Linked DNA regions of Schizosaccharomyces pombe. The main gene of each other region encodes a partner of the protein of the gene in region 4 in a complex. Each region holds a gene or a part of one and is shown on either strand. Other genes may lie near its edges.

The links.
Region 1: cox24 (region 4) and fyv4 share a complex: the UniProt entries of both Schizosaccharomyces pombe proteins name them as parts of the mitochondrial small ribosomal subunit.
Region 2: cox24 (region 4) and mrp4 share a complex: the UniProt entries of both Schizosaccharomyces pombe proteins name them as parts of the mitochondrial small ribosomal subunit.
Region 3: cox24 (region 4) and rsm10 share a complex: the UniProt entries of both Schizosaccharomyces pombe proteins name them as parts of the mitochondrial small ribosomal subunit.

The regions. Positions count from the first base shown.
Region 1 is NC_003423.3:3,431,804-3,438,062, forward strand, and holds fyv4 (mitochondrial 37S ribosomal protein mS41 ), read left to right. Parts: upstream 1-1,864; 5' UTR 1,865-1,922; coding exon 1,923-2,016; exon of another isoform or gene 2,017-2,066; coding exon 2,067-2,314; 3' UTR 2,315-2,424; coding exon of another isoform or gene 2,425-2,757; 3' UTR 2,758-3,024; coding exon of another isoform or gene 3,025-4,569; 3' UTR 4,570-5,705; downstream 5,706-6,259. Other genes in the region: U1 snRNP-associated protein Prp39, read left to right, coding at 1-171; autophagy-associated protein Atg5, read right to left, coding at 399-791, 863-1,037, 1,084-1,202, 1,289-1,387; SPOM_SPBC4B4.12C (uncharacterized protein), read right to left, coding at 2,425-2,757; plasma membrane pantothenate transmembrane transporter Liz1, read right to left, coding at 3,025-4,569; syj1 (inositol-1,4,5-trisphosphate 5-phosphatase 1), read left to right, coding at 5,750-6,259. UniProt on the Schizosaccharomyces pombe protein: Component of the mitochondrial ribosome (mitoribosome), a dedicated translation machinery responsible for the synthesis of mitochondrial genome-encoded proteins, including at least some of the essential transmembrane subunits of the mitochondrial respiratory chain.
Region 2 is NC_003424.3:3,064,807-3,067,975, forward strand, and holds mrp4 (mitochondrial 37S ribosomal protein uS2m), read right to left. Parts: upstream 1,461-3,169; 5' UTR 1,404-1,460; coding exon 612-1,403; 3' UTR 520-611; downstream 1-519. Other genes in the region: SPOM_SPAC24C9.09 (threonine--tRNA (Thr) ligase), read left to right, coding at 1-385; sgd1 (ribosome small subunit biogenesis protein), read left to right, coding at 1,782-1,851, 1,901-3,169. UniProt on the Schizosaccharomyces pombe protein: Component of the mitochondrial ribosome (mitoribosome), a dedicated translation machinery responsible for the synthesis of mitochondrial genome-encoded proteins, including at least some of the essential transmembrane subunits of the mitochondrial respiratory chain.
Region 3 is NC_003423.3:3,868,166-3,873,370, forward strand, and holds rsm10 (mitochondrial 37S ribosomal protein uS10m), read left to right. Parts: upstream 1-2,002; 5' UTR 2,003-2,127; coding exon 2,128-2,207; intron 2,208-2,273; coding exon 2,274-2,880; 3' UTR 2,881-3,042; coding exon of another isoform or gene 3,043-4,599; 3' UTR 4,600-4,655; downstream 4,656-5,205. Other genes in the region: mri1 (methylthioribose-1-phosphate isomerase), read right to left, coding at 1-436; protein Cwf3, read right to left, coding at 3,043-4,599, 4,658-5,205. UniProt on the Schizosaccharomyces pombe protein: Component of the mitochondrial ribosome (mitoribosome), a dedicated translation machinery responsible for the synthesis of mitochondrial genome-encoded proteins, including at least some of the essential transmembrane subunits of the mitochondrial respiratory chain.
Region 4 is NC_003424.3:4,761,046-4,764,742, forward strand, and holds cox24 (mitochondrial 37S ribosomal protein mS38 ), read left to right. Parts: upstream 1-1,997; 5' UTR 1,998-2,033; coding exon 2,034-2,190; exon of another isoform or gene 2,191-2,232; coding exon 2,233-2,603; 3' UTR 2,604-3,177; downstream 3,178-3,697. Other genes in the region: splicing-associated factor Saf3, read left to right, coding at 762-1,829; ypa2 (serine/threonine-protein phosphatase 2A activator 2), read left to right, coding at 3,404-3,697. UniProt on the Schizosaccharomyces pombe protein: Component of the mitochondrial ribosome (mitoribosome), a dedicated translation machinery responsible for the synthesis of mitochondrial genome-encoded proteins, including at least some of the essential transmembrane subunits of the mitochondrial respiratory chain.

The DNA.
Region 1 (6,259 bases), on a different chromosome or scaffold from region 4:
CAAGATTTGAAACAGGTTAGTACTAGGCTTTTAAGCACTAACGGTCACCCTGGTATTTCTGTGAATGAAGCAAAAATCAAGTCTGGTGAATCTCCATATGAGAAATATTACCGTCTTCAGGGTGTTGTTGAGACAGTAACATCTGGTGTTGCTGCCAATGGGTCTTCATAATCTACGACTTCTCATTAAAAAGAAATTTTCATAGTCAAATTATCAATGCTATATCTCGTTGCATTTCCTACTTCTTAAAAAGCAGTTTGTTTAGGGAAAGGAGTACTCAAACGCACCTTAATGTCATTGTAAAGTCATTGCTAGACTGCATGGGTATACAAATCTTAAAATTATTTGTACATGAATAACAAATTATCTAAAGGAGCTAGAGAAGAGACGTAAATGTTTTAAACTTTCATTAAAACAATATGTAAAAACCCATCAATGTAACAGAAATCTCGATTGAGCTCGTCTAAAACGCTCTGAAGAAAAATTGTAATACCATGAATAACTGGTTTAACTATTAAGAATTTATCACATGATGGAAACAAGTCGGGAAGGCGTTTATTGAGAAACTCACCAAGAGAACTACCAAGAGGTGCAGAAGTTTGTATAATAGGAGCATTGGCCCCTAAATAAATTTTTAAAGGAATGAATTTGGATTTTGAAAAAAGTATTTTTATAGCAATGGGACGGAAATCATAGTAATCATGATTGAGTATTGCATTCCAGTAGGTGTCTGTTTCTGCCTTTGAAAGAGCGATTATTCCAGACGAACTTCCGTTACGAACGTAATCAGACTGTAAAAAGTTAATATGGATTTACCCCTTTTGTAAATAAATCATATATGTTTTTGTGATAGAGAACGCACCTCTTTTAAGCAGTTGAAAAAATATGTTCGAAAAGTATCCATGGTTTCCATTTGAAGTATTTTGGTTGTAGGAAATAGACCTGAGCGCAATTGAATGCGCCATAGCACCGGCGCTCGAGGAGTATCCGGATCAAACACTGTTAACAAATCGAAAAGTAAGCCAACAGGCCAATGCCTATATTATGATTAATTTACGGAAAGTTACTTTGGGTAAACGATACCATTTAAGAGGAACCCCATTATAATCCAACCAACATTCTGATAAAGGGATTGAAGGTGCCAACAGACGTTGAACATTTGGGAGTATTTGAGCAAAATATGATTGTCGCGGGACGTTAGCCTTAGGTAGAATATGGTGAGCAAAAAGGAAAAAATAAATTGAGTTAAAGAATATTAAATTACTACTTGAGTGAACAAATCACATACTAGATAGGCCAGAGAATTACCTTCATAATCAATGCGCACAGAAATAGTGCCATTCCAAAGGAGCTCTGGAATATTGCCTTTATTATTATCGACATTCATTTTTAAAAAACATCTCCAATACTGTGATTAGAAATTGTGCTTTTGTTGTATACTTAACAAACTCGTGGGTGGTTGGAATGCGTTGATAAATAGCTTAGAGTCAGACATTCACTATAATTAGTTAAATTAATGTTTTTACAATTAAAGTAAGTGGGCTTTAAATACACATAGTAGAGTCTTCAAAAAATTCACCCGAAAATATAACTGGTAATTTATATGTTCAAAATACGAGTTCCTGCTATACAAAAACCGCAATTAGGAATTTGTAGATTCACTGTATTGATTAGTTAATAGACACGTAATGACTTTTCGGAAGTAGAAGTTTGAGATATTCAAGGGACTTGAAAGTTTGCATGCAGTAAATCTCATAAAAGAATTAAAAGCAAGGATTTATATAGCTAATAATTGCAGGCACTAAGCTTGACATGGTCGCACTATGAGTCGCTAGTACGTTTGTGAGACTTTCGCATACGTTCCAGAAACTGTACACAACTTATTTAAACAACCAAATATTTTTAAAACAATACTGGTAAATATGTTGATCTTGAAGAGGATTTTCATTATAAGAAATTTTATATTTCCTTTTTCTAACTGCCGGTATGCCTCTACTGTTCCTAGTCCAAGATCAGGTATGAGATTTCAAAACATTAGTGCAATTTAAATTCCTAACAAGATTCAGGGATTTCTAATACAAATGATTTCTTTAAAAGAATTGGAAGAGATACTGCAGAAAAAGTGAACGGAAAATTCGAGTCTTGGGATGGTCTATTTAGGAAAAGTACAAAAACTATGAAAAAGGAAGGTATTGATGTACGTACAAGGAAATACATTGCAAGCCAAAGAAACCGATTTAAAGAAGGGTTTATAGTTAAGCCATATCCAGTTATGGTTAAAAAGAATGGAGGTGAGCGACGCAAACGTAAATAATAAGTATATGGAATATTATATTCTTTTGAGACATTCTTTCTTCTTTTTGTAGTTGAGTTTTTGCTTGAGTTCGAATTAATCTAAAATTTGCTTAAAATAGCCAACACTGTTCAAAGCATGTCTTTTCTCGACGAAGATGTGGAGCCTAGAACGCAAAGCCGATTAAACAATTGTCCATGAAACCATTTAGCAAATTCTGGAGAATTTTCCATTAGTGCGGAATTGGCGCTAGGGTATTGTCTCCCTCTTTCCAAGTTATTTTCATTTGTTTCGTTCACGGGCTTCCATTCCCACTCTCCTGCCCAGATTAATTTAGCTTCAATTTTTTCTCTAGTCCTAATATATAAAAAATTTTCTTTTAGCTCCATTAAGTCTACACCATCGCTAAATTCCTTTAGGACTGATGTATACTCAATAACTTGTTGATCATTGCCGGATACCATCCAAACTATACGTATAGTTGGTATTTCTATTTAATGGTTATAAATTTTTAACTTCAGCTGCACCTTAAATCGTTTGTTAGCAGATTCTTTTTGAGTATGTGTGCAAAGGTATTCGTTTGCGTTTGCGTCAAAGGGCTTGGTCAATTAGATGAGCCAACTGTGGTAAATTTTTATGTTAGGTTGATATCAATATGAACAGCAAATTTACTCTAAATGTGTACTTAAAGGCATAAGGAATATTTATACTATGTCATTAATCTTCTAGTACTAATCTTGGGCATTCGTTTCTTTTGGCATGGAAATTCGCTGTCGCGTTATCACAAGCCCTGGAGAACTAATTTCTTTGACCGCATTAGTTGTGTTGAGTGATTCCTCATCATTTTTGCCTATTTTTTTTAACTCTAAACTTTCATGCTCAGTGAATACATCATCGAAATCTTTTGCATCCTGGATGGATCGTTTAATTCTTTTATCGCGGATTTGCATGTAACTAACAATACAAGAGCTAACAAAGACTATTCCTCCTACCACCAGCAAACCAATTAATCCTTTTATAAATCGAGGCGTATCAGTATTGGGATACATTATAGGTGCCCACCAAATATGCCAGATATTCTGACACATATTCATCAAAAACACAACAACTCCTCTTTCCTGATCATTATCCCGGCAAATGTCATTTGCCCAAGAAAACCAAACTGCTTGTCCAGCATATGTACAACCAGAAGCGAAATAAGCAAAGAATTTTGCGCCATCTGGCACGTTCCATGCTAGAAGTATTGTAGCAGAAACAGTAGTAATTACGCACAGAAAAAGTCCAAAAGGCCATCTTGGGTTTCCAGCTAATTTATCAGAAATAACACTAGCACCTAACGTTGATACTACGCCAACAGCTGTAATCACAGTTGGGTAATTATTTATTTGGGCAACAGAAAATTTGTTGCTCCATTTCATCCACTGACCCATCAATACATTGACAGCTATAGCTTGTGTTTCTCCGCTAAAAATCCAAAGGATGCACAAACCGTAAATTCGCCATGAACGTACAATATCCTTTATCGCTTTTAGCGTTAATGGCTTCTTCTTGGGGCGAGCGGGTAGCCTTTTGAAACTTAATTCTTTTTCTTGTTCTGTAAAATAAGGAGCCTTGGTTGTTTCTGGAACGTCAGGAAACAGAAAGAGCCCATATAATGAAAGAGGAATCGTCAAAATGCCATCAATTATAAAAAGCCAACGCCAACCAGATAAACCACCTTTACCATTTAATGATGAATGAACTGCTGTTTGCAAATACCCAGCAAACATTGTGCCGACTAAACCAGAGGCTGAAAAAATTCCGGCACGTTTGCATAGTTCACTTTCTTTGTACCATGCGCCCAATATATAATGCGTACCAGCAAATGTAGATGCCTCCGCAACCGCCATGAAAAAGCGTAAAATCATCAATGCTCGAACGGAATGTACCGCAAATGAAAAAATCGTCATAAGTCCCCATAAAATATTCATAACCGAAAACCAAAGTCTTGCTGGTACTCTCTGTAATGCATAAGAACCTGGCAATTGTCCTATAATGTATCCACATGTAAAAACAACGTTTATATCTTGCAATTCATTACCATGCATTTTCAAATCCTCTTGCATACCACTAAGGTATGCATTGTTTATTGATGATCTATCCAAGTAATTAATAAAATATGAAACGCAACAGTAAGAAAGTATGAACCAATCTATTTTTATTAAAAGCTTTTGTTCAACTTTGTTTAATCCATAATAAGGGGAAAAGGTTTTTGCCAACCTATTTAGTAACGCCATTACGACTTGTCTCACTTATGAAATATTCACGACAATTTACAGAGGAGACCTAACTTAAATTTTTATGGCTTTAGAAAACGTACAATTTCAATGGATTCTCATGAAAAGTGCCTATATTAAAGTAAAGCCAGGGACCTAAGCAAGGAACAAACACTTCGAGTCAAAATCGAATTGCAGACTGTTGGAATATCAATATGCTCCAGCCAGGAAAATTTTTTCTTTAATTTTTCTGAAAAATCAAGATTATAAGTATCGATCGAGCCTTCTAAAAAGTGACAATATCAATGCCGGAAACCCAATCTTAATTTTTAGATGTGCGCTGATTACTCGGAATTGGCTAGCAAGTTGGATACTTATTCTCGACGTAGCCACAATGAGTACTATACTTTGCTGCTCTATTTGTGGAAATTAACTGTATTGCAAAAAACATCTAACCTTTCAATTAATAAGCATTCGGTTCAAGTGGCTACAATACAATAACCACTATTTGCGAGATTAAACATACTATTACAGTAACCAACACATTTGAAATGTAAAAAATTGCCATAGTTGAAGCTATTCAGCGTCAGCGAACATCTTCGGAGAGCTCAAATAATCTTAGCTCTTAAGATGGGGGTTTTTTCTGCCGAATACTGTATCTGTTTGACTTTTATTTTTAATACGTTGGAGTAACCGCTGTATTCTTGTGCAACTTGGTGTTTTTGAAATTAACAATGGCACTGTTGATGAACGAAAGTGAATTATAATACATTTTTTGACAGTACCAATCTTATGGAAGTGCCTTGAAATCCTGTTACGTTACGTTTTAGCAAGATCGCTTCTCTTATGATTTTCTTGTTTCAATGGTTTTCTACCCATAATCAATGAAATATGTTTACAAGGGTTACGAGTTTTGTAAAGCAAATGCACTTTAAAAATTGACCAGAAACTTCCATATATTAGAACCAAAATTTTTTGGAATACATTTTAACATAGTAAATTAAAATAAGCCGTTTACTTATTCTAATTTACAGAAGCGCTTCTATAATGTTTAAGTAACGAACGTTTTTGTCACCCAACACCACCCAACTTCGTATCCCAAGATTTATAACTTGTTCGGACAAACATCGTTGGTAAAGACTTGCATCGTTCATTACAGAACGAATTTTATTATTTATAGTTCACATTTGTGAATCTTAAGATGCAATGTCTGCTGAGGGAAAAGCCAAGATCCTTGGCCTTAGTCAATAAGGACCATGCTCTTATGTTTCATTCGGTTCCTCAGAACAAAAACTCTTTATCAGTATGTGTTGCAGAATTTACGGCATTGTCAGAAAAGCCGTTAGAAGGATTTCGAAAAATCTCCAGTCATCGAATTTATGGTACTCTAGGTCTGATTGAATTAGAAGGGTCCAATTTTTTGTGCGTGATTAGTGGAGCTAGTGAGGTAGCACGTGTGCGAGATAAAGAAAGAGTTTTTCGTATCATGGAGGTCTGCTTTTACAGTGTTAATCGTTCAAACTGGGATCACATTCGACAAGAAAATTACTCGCCTGATATTCCGGATGGTTACGATACCGATACCCAAGGCTATGATTCTTACAAGTATGCCGCTGAACCATTCAGTAGTCTCAGAAAGCTATTAACAAATGGATCATTTTACTTTTCTCTCGATTTTGACATTACTACCCGACTGCAACTTCGTACGTCT
Region 2 (3,169 bases), 1.7 Mb from region 4:
GCATTTAAATGGACACTGGCCATTTTGGCTAAGTCCTAGACATGCTGTCATTTTACCAGTCAATCAAACAGATCGAATTCTAACTTATGCTAAGCAAGTACAAAAGGAATTGTCTAATCAGGAAGTCAATGAATCTGAATTTCTCCCACTCAATAAAAATACCTATTATGTGGACATAAACGCTGAAGCACAATCTATTGGCAAACGGCTACGTGAATCAAGACTTTTAAATTATAATTATGAAATTGTCATTGGAGAAGACGAAGTTGACAAAGAAATTCTCAGTGTATCTAGTAGACACAATCATAATTCAAGGGATACTAGAAAGATGACTATTCAACAATTGAAAAAAGAGTTTATAGAAAATGTGAAAGCATACCGATGATTTCCTTTCGCACAGCAAAATATGTCTGTCTTTAACAAAAATTTTGGCATCAAATCATTGAAATGTGATATATACGTTATCCATAATAATTTATTCTTTCTTTTTAACCTTTCGTTTACGAATCATTAATTTTATTGAATACTAGTGAAAATTAATCAGACCTTATCTTTAATCATGTTTAGAAAAATCAAAGAATACAGGCATTTTCAAAACAATGAGAGGGGAATCATAAAGGAAGTGTAAATTTATCTTTTTCGAAGGCTTGGTTAGCTTTTTGGTACTCTTGCTCAGCTACCCTACTCAGTAAACCAGCTATTAAATCTGTACACCGTAAAGAATCATCATTTGCTGGAATAGGATAGGTAACCATCCTTGGATCCGCATCAGTATCAATGATTCCAATTGTTGGAACATGAGTTTTCTGTGCCTCTAGACAAGCACTTTTGTTTTCTAATGGGTTTAGTATAACCATCAAATCAGGAAAGACATAACTTGGTTTTTTATCAGTTTGAATCAATTTCCCTCTATTATCTTTACATAAAATTGAACCGCCAAGCTTTCCTTGTACTTCTCTGGCATTGGTGAGAAGTCCTGGTAGCCAACGATCAAATATGTGATAACCTCTAGCACGTTTGGCAGCAGCAACGACAGAATCTTTCTGGCCGTTTCTGGTGCCAATGAACAATATAATTCCATTTTCTTTAGCTATTGATCTAACGACGGATATAGCTCTTCGTAGGTAAACCATGGTTTGATCCAATGATATTATGTGAATACCTTCTCTTTTACCATATATAAAGGGCTGCGTGTAAGGATTCCATATGGATGTAGAGTGTCCTAAATGAGCACCAGAAGACAACAATAAAGGAAGACTAAGTTGACTAGGAGGTGCCGGATTTCGAATGGATAATGTCGGTGAATAATGGGGAGCTACAACTGCACCTATTTTGTGATTCCAGTCACGTATTTTTAAACGACGAGCTACAAGTTGCTCCGGTGATAATTTCCGTGAAAGCATAATACAGACACGAATGACTCGAGCAAAATGAAAGCCCGTTTGGTGTAGTAGTACTTTAAGACTTTGAAATCGCTGCACGATTGCAACATTTCCACTTCGATATGCTTTATTAGTGTGATACTACATAGAGCGTTAATGTAAAATACAGCAGCAGAGTGACAACTTTAAATAGCATTAACAAATTGCGATATTGTATACAGTTCCATTAGCAGTGTTGTGAAATTCATTTGAAACGATACGCCAACTCGAGACTGAGGCCCAATTCTTCTCTTTGTAAAGCAATTATACCAGTTTTTGGTATCGTTTAATTGAAAAATTTGGTAGTTCTTGAGCTTTAGTATTAATTATCGTTTGTTTAATATTTAAACATTCGATAGTATGAGGCCAATTAAAAAAAGCAGAAGCTTAAAACTGCCCAAAAGTATTTTAGAAGAGATAGGAGAATCTGGTAAGCTTTTTTTTATAGATTTGGTCAGTATATTTAACCAAATTGATAGATTCGAGTGCTAGGCGGGGAAAGCGAAATCATAATCTACCTCATCGTGAAAAAAGAAAATTTGCTAGGATCTCTCGAGGAAAAAATGGTTATGAAAACCGGAAGATTACAGAAGAAGGTGATAGTAAGTCTTCTGAACTTAATGATGATTACTTAGATGCTCACAGAAAGTCATCTACAAAAAAAAAATCTTCACAGAATAAACAGGCAAAGGAGAGTAAATTACTCGATCCCATTGCTTTTCAGCATAAGATTGCTTTGGAAGAGGATGATCGTGAAATCGCTCATTTAGAAAAGATGCTTGGCATCAAAAGCAAAGATAAATCTGCTCACTCAAAAATTGACAAGGAATTTGGATGGCTTTTAGAAGACCTAGATCAAGAAATTGATGACATAGGCGTTCCGGGCACTGAAGATCCTTCATATGGTCATTCAGAAGACTCTGAAGTTTCAGACGATACAGGTGACCATGGTAGCGTTGATGAGTTGGAAAGTGAAAGGGAAGGAAATTCGGGTGAGGAGGAGGAAGAGTTTCATGGGTTTGAGTCTAATTCTGATGAATTCCATCAACCTGAAACTAAGCCGATTCGGATGGATCCTTTGAAGCCTGCAGTCCCATCCTTACCTAATGCGAACGTCGGCTCAAAGTATGTCCCTCCATCTTTACGGAAAAAATTAGGGGGAGATAAGGAGTCAGAAGATGCTCTGCGACTTCGTCGGAAATTACAAGGATCGCTAAACAAATTGTCTATCGCAAATATTTCTTCAATTATTAAGGAGATTGAAGTCCTTTACATGGAAAATTCAAGACACTCAGTCACGTCTACCATCACCAATTTGCTACTACAAACCGTAATGGGAAGAGAATCTATGCTAGATCAATTGGCCATAGTATATGCTGCGTTAGCCACTGCTCTTTACCGCATTGTAGGCAATGACTTTGGTGCTCATCTATTGCAAACCCTAGTGGAACGTTTTTTGCAGCTTTATAAATCAAAAGAGAAAGAACCTCTTTCTTCCCATAAGGAGACTTCTAACTTGATTGTATTTTTTGTTGAGTTGTATAATTTTCAACTTGTTTCATGTGTTCTTGTTTATGATTTGATTCGCCTTTTTTTACGCTCTTTAACCGAATTGAACGTTGAAATGCTGCTCAAAATTGTCCTCAATTGTGGAGGGCAGTTGCGATCAGATGACCCGACGTCTCTCCAAGATATTGTTACGGAAATGAATTTGTTATTAGCTTCAGCTGATCCATCAACCATATCTG
Region 3 (5,205 bases), on a different chromosome or scaffold from region 4:
TGTAATGCTGCAACAAGAATTTTCGGCCAGCAGTTCCAATATTGTGGTTGTCTTCTAAATCTTTTACTAGCATACGCTCCGCTTCCTGAATAATTTTATTTCGACAATTTTTTCCTTCTTGAAGAGCAATGCCTTGCATAAACTTTGCAGTTTCAAAAAGATTGACAGCGGTAGGACGAGACTGTTTGAGATGCTCAAAGCTATTTATAACATATTCTTTTGCATCTGCATCTTCAGAAAGATGTTTTAATCCGACAGCCACACTCAAAGCTGCTACAATAGCAATAGCTGGGGCCCCACGAACTTGCATTTTTTTTATGACAGCGAATGCGTCTTCTACATTACTAACTGAAATGTATTTACGCTCGTACGGAAGAAGTAATTGGTCTAATACAAGAAGCTTGTCCTCATTATAAATGATTGCTTGCAACGACATTCTGCCCAAATTTTTGAATATCTCTGCCTTTGAAAACTTTTACTTCACTAGCGCACGAACGCACATGCATCAGATAAAATTAAAGGATTTGATGAAGCTCGTAGCGATGCATTAATAGAAATAATGAATTAATATAAAGTTACACTGTGTAGTTTACTTAGGAACAAAAAATAGTACATTAAGTTTAATATAAATTTATAAGAAGAGTTAACGCAGTCTTTCGTACTTTTGACACTGCTTATAGATAGATAAAATTAGCAACCCTAACTTAATATTGTGCTTCTTATTTATCCGCACTATTTGATATGCATCTAACATTTTGAACGCGTAAACAAAAAATTTAGACTCATTCAAAGATGTAAGTTCCATCGTCAAATTATATTACCAAGTTATTTTGATAATGAGTATGGTGCCTTGAATTATAGATTAAAAAATGTATCACCGAATTTATTTTTAATAATGAGTCGATCTGACATATTAGAATCAAGGAATAATAATATGCATTGATGTTTTATGAAGGAATTACAGCTGTAGAACCTATGTATACAAACTTCAAACTTTTAAAGATGAGAACGATATATTTTTTTCGTTTTCCAGAAAAGCCATGCTTGAAGTATTTATCAAGATGTTCGGTAGTGTCAATTTAATAATCATATGTGCGACTTTGACTTTGACATGCAGCAAGAAGTTGTTGACACCAACCTATCTGCTTGAAAAGTGATACTCGTTTGCAATACTTAAATATATATATATATATATCAGTGATCGCAAGTCAGTTTTGAATGCAGGATTGGTAAACAAGGGTCGCAAGTTAATATATTTATATAGCTGTCTGCTGTAACAGTTTAACATACAACCTTGAAACTGTAAAACATTGAATATTTTTCATTGTTAAAGCCAATTTAAATGAGAACGATTATTGTGTTACGAGGTAAGCATTTAATTCCAAAATCCCTATGTATTCTTGTAGTATAAAGTAATTTGAATGACAAATCAGTAGATTCTTCCATAATTGCAAGTAGGATGCCAGTCCCAAACCTTTAATTCCTAGCTCAAAAGCACAATTGTTCAGTTCACACTTTTGTTAACTTCCGGAATTTGTTATTGTAAAATAATTGTCTCCTCATAATTTTAAAAAATTACATCTCATTGCTGACTGAGAACTCTCATCATACTGGTCAATTTTAAATTGTGCTGAAAGCCTTATAATCACAAATATTCATGTTTAATCGAATTTTTTTGGTTTTCTTCACTATGGTGCATCAATAATATTTTTAGTACAGTACAATCACACCCACCTTTGAATTCTAAACTTTGACCTTCAAATGCAAATAAAAAATTTATAGTTAGATCGTTCCATCATAGTATAAATTACAGAATGATATTGCTTTTTTAAAATAAATGTTACCATCTACGTGTTTTTCAAGGTATTCACGCGCGAACGACATTTAAAATGATTTCGCTCCGCTTGTTTATGTTCAATTAAAACATTGATTAATAACCCCTTAGTCCTACGATAATTGTGTTAAACTGAATATGATGGTGGATGACAAGTGTAGCTCGACCATTACTCCCCACTCCAACCAAAAAATTTTGTTAAAAAAAAACACCTTTACAGTGTTTAATTGTTGGAATTTTGTTCTTGTGGTTTTCTTAACAAGTATTTTAAGTAACCGGCTAAAATATTAATCATGAAACGGTATATGTTTGGTACATTACCTCGCGTGCAACCGAAACGTTGTTTCCAGACAGCTATTGGCAAAGAATCACCGTATGTATTCAATCCTTTCCTCTAATTTAAGCTATAATTTTGTACATTCTAACCCCAATTTATTAGCAAAGGGAACAGCGAAAAGGATCAACTTTTTGAGAATCCATTTTTTCAACAGCTTCCTTCCAACGTTGCAGCTGTATATTTGAACCCTGTTAAATTCAATCCTTCTGAAAACGACGTACTTTGTGCTTCTCTAAAAATTAAAAGCTTTGAAACTCCAAAACTTGATACGTTTACCGACTTCATTTGTCGAACAGCGTATTACATGAAAATTCCAATCAAGGGTCCACGTCCATTACCCAACAAAGTAGAAAGCTGGACTTTACTCCGATCACCTTTTATTCACAAATCTTCTCAGGAGAATTTTGAACGTATTACGCACTCTCGACTTATACAACTGTACAGTGTCAATCCAGTTACTTTAGAAACGTTTTTTAGTTATTTACGAAAATGCAACATGTGGGATTTAAAATTGCAAGCAAAAGCTTATGAATACGAATCCATCGATGATGCCCTTAAAAACTTCGAGTCACAGTCTAAGTCTACTGATAATTTCAAAGAATTGTTAAACGGTCCTTCGAAAAAAGATATAATCACACAAAATGCCGAAAAATTGCTCAGAAACGACCCCATTTACAAAGATTTGTTAAAAAATTCATCTCGAAAATAAAAATTAACTAATGTGTTTTCAATTACTCTGATGTTGGACCGTTTATTAGCAAAAATACTCTGACTGTATTCGTACTTTTTTTTTTAACAATATGACACTAGCTTTTCTTCATTAAAAGTGTTCTTTAACTAAAAACGTTACGAATAGTCCACACTTGTTTCGTTAGTTTTCCTCACCAGTAATTTTTGAAGTTTCTTGGGGATTGCTTTTCGAAAGAACAAAACCCGCAAGTGCCTTAGGTCCTTCAGATTTTTCCATTTCAAGCTGTTCCATTGGATCCATTGGTGCTGCTGCACTTTCAATTTTAGCTGCTCTCTTCGCTATATGAAGGGAATCAGTGCTAAACTTAGTTTGTACAGACCGTTTAATACGAAGCATTTCTTTAACTGTTTCTTCTGGATTTCCGTACCTTATTTCAAATTCTTGCCATGCTTTCCAATAATCCGTTTCAACTCTTGGATCACAGTATTGACTTCCATGAATATATATTAAACGAGCACGATCGATTTCACCAAGTTTCGTCTCCATTTCAGCAAACCTTAAGCACATATCTTTGACTTCTGAGTCACTCAGGGATTCAATAGCCTTCTCATAAACTGTCCTTGTCGCCAGTACACCATAATTTAATGCCACTTTAACGAGTAACACATTGTAAATAGCAAGACGGTCTGCTGTTTTAACCTTGTCGGCCGCTTTTTCTAAAATAGAAATGGATCTTTTTGCTTTGCCAAACTTTTCTTCGAAATCGGCATACAGAAGATAAATACTTTTCGAAAATTCGGGCGGACATCCTTCTAATGCTTGTTCAAATAAATCCCTGGTCCTTTCCATATGCGTTCCTTGATATCGTTTAACAAATTTTGTTAAATATAAATTCCAAAGTTCAAAAGCCACGGGATAACTAAATAACGCAACACCTCTCTCATAAATTTTAAATGAATCTTCAAAATAAGCATTCTCCTCTAAGAGATTTGCATAATTGACAACCACCTGGGGAGTAGCAATTTTTAGTTCAAAGACGCGGTCGTACAATTTGCGTGTAGTTTCAATCGTACCAACGCTTTCCTCAAGATCAAGATAATACATCCATATCTTAGATGACTTGTGTAGCCGTACTTGTGGACTGAGTGATTCATCAAAAAAGCTGATATGACTTTTTCTAGGAGCATGAACGGCATCTCCTATTAATTTTCTCGCAGCGTCAAAATTTTGATGTCGAAGTTCCATCTCGGCCCAGTCAATCCAAACTTGTGCTAACTCATTGACTGTTTTATATGGTACATGAGTAGCCTTTTCAAAAATTATCCTTGATTGTTCTAAATCATCAAAATTTTCATAAAAACGAGCAAACTCTGAAAACAATTTGCCGAGGGAGCCATGCGCCAGCTTTGGATTTACATTTTTTATAGCGTCTGTGTAAACTTGAACAACTTTTTCGCTGTCGTCTTCTAAAAACTTGACTCGGCGAAGCCATTCGTCAACGTTATTTATATTTTGCCTTAATAATACATCATTGATATAAAGCGGACGTTTGTCAAGTATTTTCTCGAGCCAGGCCATATGAAAATCGATACTTAATTCGTCATTTGCATTTCCGCTGCTTGCTTCAACTCGTGCAGATAGCCATTGCTCTTCGAATTCAACAAAAGCATCGAATATAATTGTAAAATTTCTTACAGTCATTATGTTATTCATCCCTTCATAGAATGTGCTTCTTGCCTGTACGATAAGTTAGTTTTTGCAATAAGGGGTCAATAAACAAACCAGTTAAACATACCTTCTCGTAGTCACCAATGCGTATATAATATTGTGCCAAATAAGTCCATAGTTTCCCTGCTTGATCAGAAAACCTTTTAATGCCAGCTCTAAAAACCTTTTCTACGTCTATGTTTTGCGTATGGTCAGGATGCTGAACAACTAACTCGGAAAACTCGAGCCATATCTGATAATTGCTCTTCCTTTTTGCTGATAAAAACACGGGCCGATTTAAAATATCCTCATATTGTCGAGCAGCTTCATTCCACAGCCCTAATTTACAAAGTATCTCAATGTAGTTTTCAATTGCTCTTGGTTCTACTTGTATATATCTGCGGTAGACATGGATGCAAAATAATCCTCCAATATCTTCAGCATATTTCGTAAACATGTCCCAAATATCATCGTGCTGAGTTACCGGTAAGGCGCGAAGTGCAGAGTTAAATGTACAACGAATCTTAGTGACATTTGGTTGTTTCATCAAAAATTGTAAATATAGTTTCCAAATAACAGGCATTTTATGCAATAAAATCAAAGAGCGCTCAAAACAATCGTTTACAGAAGCAAAAG
Region 4 (3,697 bases):
CCAATTATATGCACCTGATTTTTGCTATTTTACGGTAGTATCAAGCTCTGGGAAGTATGTACTCTCAATTAATGGTTATATTACGATAGTTGAACTTAACTTCACTATTGTTGCTAGTTGCCAGCGCTCGCTATCTGTATTTAGAATTAGAAGGTGAATTGAATTGAGAAATATAATCAATATAACAAAATTACAAGTATACGTTTGGTTTTATTTCTTCAAAGTTATTTTGGTATGAAAAAGTGAGATGCTGACAGATTTCAAGTCAAGAACTCTATATTTTTTAAAACCACTTCAACGAATTTTAGGATCTTGAAAAGTACATCATTTTTACTAATTATAGGAGGGTATTTTCAAAGGATATATTGTATGTAGCATCTAAATAATTTTTATGAAGGTCTCAAAGGGTTGACAACGGTTGTTTTTGGAAATACATTACATTGACCATAAACTGAAACGATGTATTTTACAAAAGGCAATTCAATTTTACAAACTTTCAGCTAAATATAAATTATGCCAGGATTCTCGTTCATTTGACTAGAATGTGTGCTTGTGATATTTGTTCTCGCATTGGTAAGTGCCCCGAAACCTCTTTGTAAGTGGCACCGTACCACAAATTGCATACATACAATCTATTATATCAGATATACAGTTTTATCTTGGGTGGTAGATAATAGATATATAATTTCCAATTCATATTTATATTGTTTTACCGGTTGATTGAAATTTGCCAACCAATTTAATAAAAAGCGTTTGTCAAGATGCCAATAGATACACCGTTGATACCCCATAAACCTATTTCAAGATATCGCTCTGGTAGATTGGAAGGGCTGGAAAGTGAGTCTTCTTCTGAAAGTGATTATGAAGAAGTTTCCGATTCACATGATCAAGAAAACTCGATTTCTTCATCAAGACATGTTATTACTCCAGTATTCGAGAAAGAAGGAATATCTGAAACCAAAACGTCTTCTAATTTCCAAAACATTAACCCAGTCCAAACAATTGATAACTCTGCTTCAGAATATGAGACTGACGCATCATCGGCAGAAGGGGGATCTAACTCTGCAGCATCTAGTTCTGAAGAAGAAGACTCTTCTGATTCGGAATATGAGATGGAGCTGAGAAGGCGGACACTTCTTCTTCCGCCAAAATTTACTAGTAAAGTCATCAAAAATCGGGCAAAAGCCAATGAAGAAGATACTGAGGTGCTTAAAAAAGTGACTTCACAAAAAATATTAGAAGAGACTATAAAACGGGAATTACTATTGAAAGAAACTAAAAACAATAATGAATTATTAAATGATATCGATGATACCGATGGAATTGATCCGCAAAGTGAATATGAATTATGGAAATTAAGGCATTTGCTTAGGAAAAAGAGAGACAAGGAAAAGTCACTGGAATTAGAAAGGGAAAAGATGGCAATTGAAGAAAGAAGATTAATGAATTCTGAGGAACGCGAAGCCCAAGATTTGAAGGACGCTGAAGCAAGTCGGAGAGGAAAGAAAAAGTCATCTATGCAGTTCTTACAAAAGTACTATCATAAGGGTGCATTCTATCAAAACGAAGATATTGTGAGTAAAAGAGATTATTCAGAAGCCACAGAAGGGGAAGTTCTTAATAAAGATTTATTACCCAAACCTATGCAAATTAGGGGAGATCTTTTTGCGAAGGCAGGCCAAACACGCTGGACGCATTTGGCAAATGAAGATACTACAAAAGAAGGATCTGCTTGGTATGATCCTAAAAACCCAATCTTGCAAAAAAATTTGCATCGTCTCGGTGGACTTCATTCTGACAGCCCACTCTCGAAGCGAAAACGTACCTAACATCTGTATATACATAAGGACAATTTTGTATTTCATTTAGCATTAATTTTATTTAACATCACATATATATTTAAATACAACATTCTTCTGAATTAATATCAAATGTGCACCACCCTTCCTCTTTGTAAGTGTTTAGCATAAGCATACCAATTCTTACCTTCCCGCAGTGCAAAGAGTACAACACATTTTTCGCCTTGGTCACCCATGTTACGAAGAGGTGCGCTTTCCACAATATTAAAAGGTTTAAACGGCCTTTCACTGCGTAGTCCCATACCGATTTGGCATGTTTCAGCTTCTCCCGAAGTTGGGTCGAAATATAACCTACCAACGGTTCCTACAACTTCACACGTTTCATATCGTCGTAAGTAAATTAAATACTTCTATTTCTAACTTCATTGCGTAGAAATCGCAAAAGCAAATTTCTTTGCTGGATATCGACCTTTGTCAGCTAATCAAATATGTGTGCCTAAAGTTGAGTCCAAAACACAAGTTTCGCAATCGCAGGATGAGGAAGATCAACCCCAGGAATATGTGTTATCTTTAGAGGATGGCTATTTGTATGCTCAATCATTCTCTGCATCTGGATCCGTAACTCAAACTCAACCCGCTCGTATATCTACTCAAGTATGGGAACAAATATGTGATAAGCTGATTTCTATTACACCTTTAGATTTGACCAGTGTCAAACGAAAAAGAAAATTGAAAATGAATAAACATAAGTTCAAAAAGCGCTTACGCCGACAACGAGCACTTAGGAAACGTCTAGGAAAATGAGATTATTAGAACTTATTTTTACTCGGGTTATATTTTTAGGTTGGTTGGATTGAGAGTTTAAGCTGTAAACAAGCATTTTCAAAATGGCTGCAAGCATTTATGAGTCTCTATTTTTAACTTGGATATCAGTACCTCTCTTTTCTTAAGAAACGTTTAATCATTTAATGTTTACTTCAGGCTTTTTTAACAAGGAATACATTTTCTCTCATGTATATTCTATCCTTTAATGTTCCGGTATGAGACAATTAGGTCGGTGCTTTTTTCTTGCGATAAAATCATTAAACAATCCGCGTTTATTTAACTATTTTCAAAAAGCGGAGCACTTATTTGTTTATGCCGGCTATCTCCTTCATATCAATTAGCTTCCCATGTCTAGTACTATTACAATACCTCCATCTTTGGCCCTTCCTTTTTATATTTTTAAATATTTGTCGATGGCTAGAATTAATGACATGTACACTTCATGTGAATCATAAATATGTTGTTGTATATCAAGCAATTAATAAACGCTTATTACACTGTATCTGTTTACACATAGAATAAAAGAACACATTGGTATGAAAAATAACTTTAGTAGTCGAAATTATTTCCTTAAAACAATTTTGAAAAAAAAAAAAAAAATTTCTACATTTCTTTCTTTAAAAAATGTTCTCACTGATTATAGCTAATTACAATAATGAAATGTAACGTACTGACGACTGACATAACAAATAACAACATAAGGAATATTGAAGAGCGTCCAACTGTATAATTTTTAAGGCTTTTGTTAATCTTGTCTTAACCGATCAAGTTATGCCAACATGCTTTCTAGAGAAGAGCAAAACCGGTGTTTCGTTCCTGTCCGACGAATTTTAGACAATGAAGACTTAAAATTATTTAAAGAAGGAGATGCTTATAAGTTAATTGATTCGTTTATTTGTGATCTTGACGAAGCTGTGAAAGACAAGCCTATTTCAGCTTCAATTCCGCAAAGCTCATCAATAGAGCATGTATTAAATATACTAGATCGAGTTGGAGAAATTAAACAGGAAAATCCTGCAATTGATAATATGGGGTCGAGGTTTGGCAATCCTGCATTTCAATCATTTTACGAT